Linked DNA regions of Oryctolagus cuniculus. The protein of the gene in region 1 purifies or fractionates together with the protein of each later gene. This does not show direct contact. Links are inferred from orthologs where the notes say so. Each region holds a gene or a part of one and is shown in the gene's direction. Other genes may lie near its edges.

Evidence for each region.
Region 2: the proteins of UQCRFS1 (region 1) and LYRM7 purify together in Homo sapiens (co-immunoprecipitation; 5 studies listed by BioGRID and IntAct, with this or other methods). This does not show direct contact. The link is inferred for Oryctolagus cuniculus from reciprocal best matches to the Homo sapiens genes UQCRFS1 and LYRM7.

Annotation. Positions count from the first base shown.
Region 1 is NC_091449.1:26,888,191-26,892,716, forward strand, and holds the start of UQCRFS1 (cytochrome b-c1 complex subunit Rieske, mitochondrial), read left to right. Parts: upstream 1-1,617; 5' UTR 1,618-1,738; coding exon 1,739-1,952; intron 1,953-4,526.
Region 2 is NC_091437.1:19,886,967-19,891,556, forward strand, and holds the start of LYRM7 (complex III assembly factor LYRM7), read left to right. Parts: upstream 1-1,753; 5' UTR 1,754-1,918; intron 1,919-4,590. Other genes in the region: adenosine 5'-monophosphoramidase HINT1, read right to left, coding at 1,492-1,602.

The DNA of each region.
Region 1 (4,526 bases):
GGGCTTTAACCTGCTGCCACAGCACCAGCCCCGAGGTAGATACTATTATCCCCATTTTATAGAAGAAAGACTGAGGCACACAGAGGTTACATAAGTTGCCCTAGCACACAGCTAGTGAGTGGCAGGATTGGAATTGATTCCACAGAGTCTGAGCTAACAATTTCTGCTCTGTGCAGCCCAGGCTGTGAGGGTCTGTCAAGGCTCTCTCCCTCATTCTTTCTTTCTTTACTCCTCTCCACCTCAGAGAGCTACTGTGAATAAGAGCTGTCAGGTGTGAAGCACTCCAACTACACATGGTGTGTGGTAGTTGTCTGGAGGGTTTGTTTTTACCCTCAGTGCTGGTGGGGTTAGCTCAGCACTGGTCACGTGGCAAGCCTAGTCGGGGGGCTCCTGGGGAAGCAGCTTCGGGAGCTGGGCCTTGCAGAGGGTCTAATGAAGCTCAAAGGGGTTAGTGGCCAGTGTGCTGTGGACCTGGGGCGAGGGTCAGAAGTGAGTCAACAGAGATCCCAGGTGTCTTCAGAGTAGGTAGCCTTTCCCTGTAAACAATGCTAGCAAGCCCTCACCAGACGCTTCACAGGGAGCAAACGGGTGCATAGGAGAGGTCAGCAAGAACGTGCCCCACCTCCGAGCCTGTGCATAGCACAGCACTGAGAAGCACTGGTCACCGTACCACAATTCCGCCAAATCTGTGCACAGCTTGTGTTGACGAGGCAGGGCAGAAGCAGACGCCATGAACCCCTCCCTAACTCACATGGATCCAGCTCCAGCTCCCAACCAGGAGCAAGGAACAAAAGACTCCCTGTCGTCTTGTTAGGGACTTCCCCAGCCTCCACGCAGGCCCAGAAAAGCCCACTGTAACTCAAATGGGACCTGCTTGGACGGTGACAGTGAGCTGCTTGGACGGTGACAGTGAGCAACAGCACCATTTTGAGTTTGTGTGAAAAAAAAAAAAAAAAAAAAGCAATAGTGCCAGCACAGAACTTGGAACTGGCTGCAAAGCGAAGAGCCATGTGCAGAGGGCAGAATCACCCAACCCTAGGAAAGTTCAGCTCCCTTCAGGGATCCAGTGCTGCCTCCCTTGCACTGGAATGCAAGGCCCCAGTGAAATTTGTCAGCCTGGGTGGGTAACATTACTTTCTCATTATGTAAATTAACTATTTTGGCCTAAATAAACAAAAAGGAAATTATATCACTATAGCTAAACGAAAGAATGCAGGTGAAGCATAAAACCCAACACATAGCAGATGCATTTAAACCACTATCAGTGCATAGGTCCCTGTCCTTTCTAAATTTTTATTTTTTTGTTAGCAGATGATACACATTAAAGACACACATAATGGGAACTATTATCAGTATTTCAGCTATTACAACTTGTTCTTATTCTGAAATCATCCTATATGAAGTTTTGTCTTAAAAGACCTCAAAATCGGCCCACCGGACATTCTCTCAGGTCTCTAGGGTCTCTGCAAATTCTTTCGTCCCCGCTGTCCGGAGCAAACTCGCGCGTAACACACAGCAGGGCCAAGCAGGGACAGAAAGGACGGCAAGCTCCACCCCACCTCCGCCCCGCCCCCAGCGCGTGGTCGTAGCCCCGCCCCTGGCGCAACACCGCCCGCCGAGTCCTCTCTGGACGGCGCGATGACGTCACAGGTCCTGCGCCATCTGCGCTTCCTCGCGCCTGCGCCGCGGGCGGAAGGTCGTCCCTGTGACCGGCTTGGCGGTTGAAGCTGCTGTCGCCATGTTGTCGGTCGCCGCCCGCTCCGGCCCGTTCGCGCCGGTCCTGTCGGCCACGTCCCGCGGGGTGGCGGGCGCGCTGCGGCCCCTGGTGCAGGCCGCGGTGCCCGCCACCCCGGAACCGCCTGTGCTGGACGTGAAGCGACCCTTCCTGTGCCGGGAGTCGCTGAGTGGCCAGGCCGTGGGCCGGCCTCTGGTCGTCTCCGTGGGCCTCAATGGTGAGCCGGGCTGAGGAGTCACCCCCTTCTCGCTTCCTTCAGTCCTGGACCCAGGGAGCGGGCGAGGAGGGCGGGTGTCTGCGGGAAGGTGGAGCGGAGCCGTGTCAGGGTGGATCGGGCGGCCGGCCCGGCGCGACCTTGGGCAGGCCCTTGCACCTCCCGGCCCAGCGCCCTCACCTGTGTCGGATGCCGCTGCGTTGGGCGTCTCGAGTGATGCTCCAGCTCTGGCGTCCCCGGCCCCTGGGAGTCCTTTCTTGGCGGGGCGGGGTGGGTTTCCCAGGTTTAGGCCGAACCAGCTGCTTCCACCGAGGCTGATAGCGATGTTGCTTACAGGTCATTTGACTTTGGGCACGTTTTCAAGAGTTTTCCTACCTGTGAAATGGGTTCATGGTTATATCAATTTCGCAGGAATCTTGTGAGGCTTAGATGGAAACATTTTATGTAAAGCCATTGGCATGGTCTAGACATTTAATACTTGCTTTAAAAGAAAAGGAACTATTATTTGTATTTGGGAAGTTGTCCACCTCACCTCTAATATCTTCGGTTTATTTTTTCCATCACCCCCCCCCCCCCAAAAAAAAAAAAAAAAAACTCTCTCCGAAACAACACAGCCCAAAGATGCGTTACAGTGTGATGTGTCAGCAGTGTTTTCAGGCACCTGACCAAAGGGTTCTCACAACATAATCCATTTAACCTCAAGAAGAGTCAGATTAATAATGCTCCCATTTTACAGATAAGAGAGCGGACCACAAGAGGTAAAGTGGCTTACCCGAGGATAAGTGTGGATACATGGTGTGTGGACATGGTAGAACATGGGTGTGACAAGACTGATAATCTTAACCCAGGGCTCTTCCCAGAGATGTATTTCACACTCTGTCAGTAGGTTGCAGATTCTGTGCCTTATTTTCCGTTTCACTTTGCATCTTGGAGACCCTGAAATGGTATGCTGTCGACCATAGGTATGCTGGCAGTACAGGCTCTGGTTTCTCCATGGGTAAAGTCGGTAGTGTGCTGTGTATTAGCTGCTCCCATAGCTGGCTGTGCCCAGTTCGTCACAGTCTTTACCAGTCTGCCTGGCTCCTTGAGTTTGTGACTCCTTCCCTACAAGCTTACCAAGTTGCCTCTCTCTCTTGTTATTCTGCTTTCATGAACGCGATTCTCTGCACTTTCAGTGATTCTCCTGCTGATTTTCACATGTCCCAAGTCCTACCTGCCCTCTCAGTCTGAGTTTAGGATCAGATCAATCACATTTTAGGTTTGCTGATTTCTTTGTCTTCATAGCATATAACGCTTCCTACTCTGTGTTTATTAGGTGATTTCTCTGACCTTGATCTAAAAGGCGATGAGAGTGTTGTCTTTGTCCTCACAGCCTTGGCACAGTTGGCACAAAATATTTGTAATCGAATGTTTTTTAAGGAGCACCAGTGTGTTTTGATGGAGAAGCTGTCTAGGGCAGGGATGGACTACCCTGGCTCATTCCAAGCCTGTTCTTGAGATCTAGAGGTGAGAAAGAAGAGAGGAGAAAATTCAAACGGTGAAAATGAAAAACATCTTTGGAGTTTATTGGTTGGCCAAAGGTTTTCTTCTAAAAATTGGAGGCTTATGTGCCCTATGGAACTATTTTTCCTAAAACAAGCAAATGATTTAGAACCATAGGGAAAACCCCTTTTTTCCTGCGATCATGCCTTCAGCTTGTAGCTTAAGTTCACATAAAATCTCCTGTCTTGATGGTTTATGGGAAGACGGTAGTGAGAGTAGAGGAGGTGTTGGATCAGGAGAATATAATTTTATCTGGGGAGGATGGTTGAACTGTAGTAGCATCTCTTTAATGTGAAAGATTTCCAAGGCACATCAGAACTCACTTTAAAATAAAACCAAAAAGGGCGAAGGGGCAAGCAGGGTAAGCCACTGCTCTGCTTCCAATCCAGCTTCCTGCTAATATACCTACCTGGGAAAGCAGCAGAAAATGACCCAAGTGCTTGCGCCCCTGCCACCCAGGTATGAGAGACCTGGGTGGAATTCTGGGCTCCTGGCTTTGGCCTGGTCTGCCCCAGCTAATGGGGCCATTTGGGGGAGTGAGTGGAAATTTGTCTCTCCTCCTCTTGCTGTAACTCCACCTTTCAAAATAATAAACAACCTGTTTTGTTAAAGTGCCTTACATTTTCTCTATTTCTAGATGGTAGTTCTAGCTGATTTGGTTTGGGTTAAACTAAATTTTGCATCTATGCTACTAAAAGTCAGGCTTAATGTGGCTCATATAAATTATTTAGATAATGGTTTTTGCACATGGTAATTTTTCCTACAAGATTCTTGTTGGTATGGCATAATAAAGTATGACCTGCAAGATAGAGTGGGACAGCTATGTTTTGTTTGCCGCCAAATCTGAATGAGATGGCAAAGCCATTTTATTTAGTATTCTAGTACCTTGTGTACATTAGGGTTAAGGTTATGGATGTTGTTTTTAATGTAGAAGAATGAATTTTGGATCCCTCATCTTTTTTGTGTAATCCCAAGCAATGCTGAGAAGAAAGTGATTCATGGTCATTAGGTAGAGTAGTACGTGATGCAGTGTCA
Region 2 (4,590 bases), on another chromosome or scaffold:
AGATTCTGTTCCCGGTTGCCCCTCTTCCAGGCCAGCTCTCTGCTGTGGCCAGGGAGTGCAGTGGAGGATGGCCCAGGTTCTAGGGCCCTGCACCCCATGGGAGACCAGAATAAGTATCTGGCTCCTGCCATCGGATCAGCGCGATGAGCCAGCCGCAGCGGCCATTGGAGGGTGAACCAACGGCAAAGGAAGACCTTTCTCTCTGTCTCTCTCTCTCACTGTCCACTCTGCCTGTCAAAAAAAAAAAAAAAGAAAGAAAGAAAAGAAATAGGCCCATTTTCTTTTGTGGAACTGAGCAGTTTAAGTAGCATGTAGACAAATTCGCAACCACACTGGAAGCGTCTGTTCCTAAACCTACGACATGATTGTTTTCGTGCCCTCGGCTCTCTACTGATGCTTAAAGCCACCCGTGTGTATGTGTCTTTGGGGAAACCTTACCGGGCACGCCCTACAAAATGCTGCATCATTTAGAATGCTTCATGCTGTGGTTCAAACGTCAGTATTTCGAATATCATTCATAATACTTAACTGTGGACTTTTAGATAGAAATCATGCTTCTAAAACAAAAGACCCTCCTAACGAGCGACAGATAATTTAATTTAAACGAATTTAAACGAAATTCACTTTTAAGGCACCGAATTCAATCTTAGTTAACGCTTTAAATCTAAGTAAACACTACTAGCAGCGTCAGATGAATTGTTTTCTTATACTGCCCATTTCTGACATATGTTTGCAGAAACTTCCTAACTAAACGAACCAAGCGTCTGGCCAAGCTGAGTACCTGAGATCCACACCCACAAATACCAAAGTCCGCTACACACTGGCAATTTACCCATCAACAGGGACTCCACCTCCAACGAAACCAACCAAATAAAACCTTCATTTTTAGCTCCTCGACGTACAAGCGTTTCCTGTCGAATATAAAAGCAATCTTCCGACCGCTTCTAAGCGCGGAAACCTTCGGCGGGGAACGTGGAGGGGAAGCGAGTCCCGGGCGTGGGCGCGGGCTTATCTCCGGGTCGGCCCGCCGAGCGGCCCCGCCGCGGCAGCCTGCAGGCCGCCGGCAGCACGCCAGGCGGAGCAGCGCCCCGGAACGGCCAGGGCAGGCCGGCTGTGCGCGGGAGATCGCGGAGATTGGGCCCGAGTCAGGGCGCGATCGGGTTTCTCCCTGTCAGGCAGAGCGCTGACGAGATTGCGAGATTCCTGACCCCGGCGAGGTCCCAGGCCGCCGGGAGCTGGCGGGCGAGCACGCCCGGGAGCCGGCGCGACCCGCACACGCGCCTGGGCCCCGCGGCGCGGCTCTGCGGACGCCCGGCGGCCGGGCCCGCGCCCGCCGCTGATAACGCGTAACCGGAGCGCCGGCACGCGCCGGCAGGCCGCCTCCGGGCGCCCGCGGCCCTGCCCGCTGGCGGGGGGCCCGTCCCTCGGCGGAAAGCCAGCGTGTCCCCGGGCCGCTGCCCCCCGCCCGGCGACGCGACGCCCGGTCCCTACCTGGTCATCCTCGAAAATGATTTTGGCTGGGATTTCCTTGCGGATGATCTTCCCGAAGATCGTGTCGCCACCAGGTCGGGCGACCTGAGCCTTGGCGATCTCATCTGCCATCTCGGGCTGCCTCCCGCGCACCGGCCACGGGAGAAGCGCAGAGAAGGGAGGAAGCCGCGGAGCCGGCAGAGGGCGGGAGCGCGCGGCCAAGCCTGCGCACCGACCGCAGCTCCCGGGCCCGAGCGCGCCCGCGCGTGCGCACCGGCGACCCGGGCGGCGGGTGCGGCCGGCGCGCGGGAGCCGCGAGGGAGCCGCCCCCAGGGACTGGCCGAGGTGGCTCCAGGGAGACGCACCCGCGCCGTATTTACTTATTCTTTTCTTGGATCCGCGGAAGTGGAGTCACGGATGTAAGCCCTTAATTCGCCTAGGCACGTTGGTGGGAAAAACTGAGTCCTGTAAGAGATTTGATAATTCAGGCTGGCTGAGGCCCCAGCTGCACTTCTCTGCAGCTTAAGGTCTTCGCCAGGGCAGTTAAACCCTCCATGCTTCAGCTCTCTTTGTCTAGCAGTGGTTCTCAACCTTGAATTCACATGAAAATTATTTGGGGAGCTTTTCAAAATCCTGAACCTGGCTGCACGCCAGAGCAATTAAATCAGAGTATCCAGTGGGGCGACTCAGGCATCAGTAGTTTGCAAGCCTCCCTAGAATGTTCTACAAAGTAGTTTGCCCAGCCGCCCTTCATACTGTAAGATGCTCCACCTTAACGGAACGAAACCTTCCTCAGTCCTGCATCTCCCTCCCTATCTCTTAGTTTTCCACATACTGTGTCTACTTTGCTCATCTCTCATTTCTTTTCAGATTTATTTTATTTATTTGAAAGGCAGGACGCTAGAAGGAGAGTGACAGAGATCTGCCATCTACTGGTTCACTCCCCATACGGTGGAAACAGCCCCGGATGGGCCAGGCAGAAGGCAGGAGTCAGGAACTCCATCCTGGTCTCCCACATGGGTGGCAGGAGCCCAAGTACTCGAGCCATCATCTGCTGCTTTCCCAGTCATATTAGCAGAGAGCTGGGTGTCAAGAGGAGCAGCCAGAACTCAAACGGTACTCCAGTATGAGATGGCAGCAGCACAGGCTTTGGCTTAATCCAGTGTACCCTAACACCAGCTCATCAACTTTGATTTTTGAGCCCATTTCCCTCTTGCTGAGGTCACTAGGGACCTCCACTTACAAAATCCTACAGGCAGCTCCAGTTCTCATCATGCTAGACCTCTCGGCATTATTTGCCACTACTGACCTTCAGCGACAGTCTTCATGCTCCCACCTGTCTGAATGTTCTGTCTCCTTCCCCGTGAGCCTCCAATTCCAGACCTCTCAGTGGGTGTACGCTTGGCCCTCTTCTCTAGCGAACACCCAGTTTCCAAGTGTCCTTCTTTAGGAAAATCAGCTATACCTCCTGAACTGCCCTGTGTGATTACAGCTTACCTGTGAAATTGTCTCTTAAATTAGTGATTCACTTTCATTTCAAAACTCCCATTTGCTGCTATCAGAGACATTACTGGGACATTTGATGAAATCTAAATAATGTTCATCTCTTACTAAGATAGTAAGAAATTGGAAGTCATGTTAACATCTCCTTTCATAGCCACAGCAAAATTATCAAAATCATTTGGTCTGGGATAGAGTCCTACGAATTGGAGTTCCTGCTGGCCCTGGAACCATACTTTGAGTACTGCTGCTGAAAGGGAATGCCTTTGCTTGCAGAGGAACAAAAACCCATGGAGGTATTTAGGAGTTGCAGAGTTTATGTCTGCAACTTGATTTCAAACAGCTCAGAGAGAGAGAGAGATTCCATATATACAAAAGTAGAAGAAAGGACAAAAGCATTTGCAGTGAAATGTTAACATTTGTGCAATCTGAGTAAAAAGTATATGCTCATTCTATGTATTATTCTTGCCACTTTTCTGTACCTTTGAAATGGTCAAAGTAAAAGGTTAAATCACAGACTGGGCGTTTGACCAGCAGTTAAGATCCTGCATTCCACAGTAGTTGAATGGCTCTGCCTCCTGACTTCAGTGAACATCCTGCTGACACAGACCCTGGGAGGCAGTGGTGATGGCTCAGGTGATTGGGTTCCTGCCACCTATATGGGAGAACTGAATTTTTTTTTTTTTTTTTTTGACAGGCAGAGTGGATAGTGAGAGAGAGAGACAGAGAGAAAGGTCTTCCTTTTTGCCGTTGGTTCACCCTCCAATGGCTGCCGCGGCCAGCGCGCTGCAGCCGGCGCACCGCGCTGATCCGAAGGCAGGAGCCAGGTGCTTCTCCTGGTCTCCCATGGGGTGCAGGGCCCAAGCACTTGGGCCATCCTCCATTGCCTTCCAGGGCCACAGCAGAGAGCTGGACTGGAAGAGGAGCAACCGGGACAGAATCCAGCGCCCCGACCGGAACTAGAACCGGGTGTGCCAGCGCCACAAGGCGGAGGATTAGCCTAGTGAGCTGCGGCGCCGGCCCTAGAGAACTGAATTGTGTTTCCCAATCCCAGCTGTGGTCCGCTTCAACTCTGGCCACTGTGGCCACTGGGCAGTGAACCAGTAAATGGAAAATTGTTCTATATGTCTCTTCTCTCTCTCTCTCTCTCTCTCTCTCTCTCTGTGTGTGTGTGTGTGTGTGTGACTCAAATTTTTTTTTTTTTAAATTGGAGTTCTACTTTTTTAAGTTTTTTTTTTAATCATCCACTTAAAAGGCAGAGCCACACTGAGAGAGAGAGCACGTGCTTCAGTGTGCTGGTTCACTCCCCAGATGCCTGCAACAACCAGGATGGACCAGGCCAAGATAGGAATCCATACTACACAGAGTATCCCACATGGATGCAGGGGCCCAAGCACTTGAGCCATCATCGGCTATCTCCCAAGGATTCAATAGCAGGAAACTGGAAATTATTTTCTTAAATGTTAAAAAAAGTGTGCTGGTTTAAATAATAAATACAGCCAACTCTCACTCAATCCAAAAGCTTAAATACCTATAGAGAAATTACTCCAAAGTACTTGTCTCCTGATCTGCCTGTTAACTTAATTTCAAAATGGTCTATGAAACACATGGCTACCTACT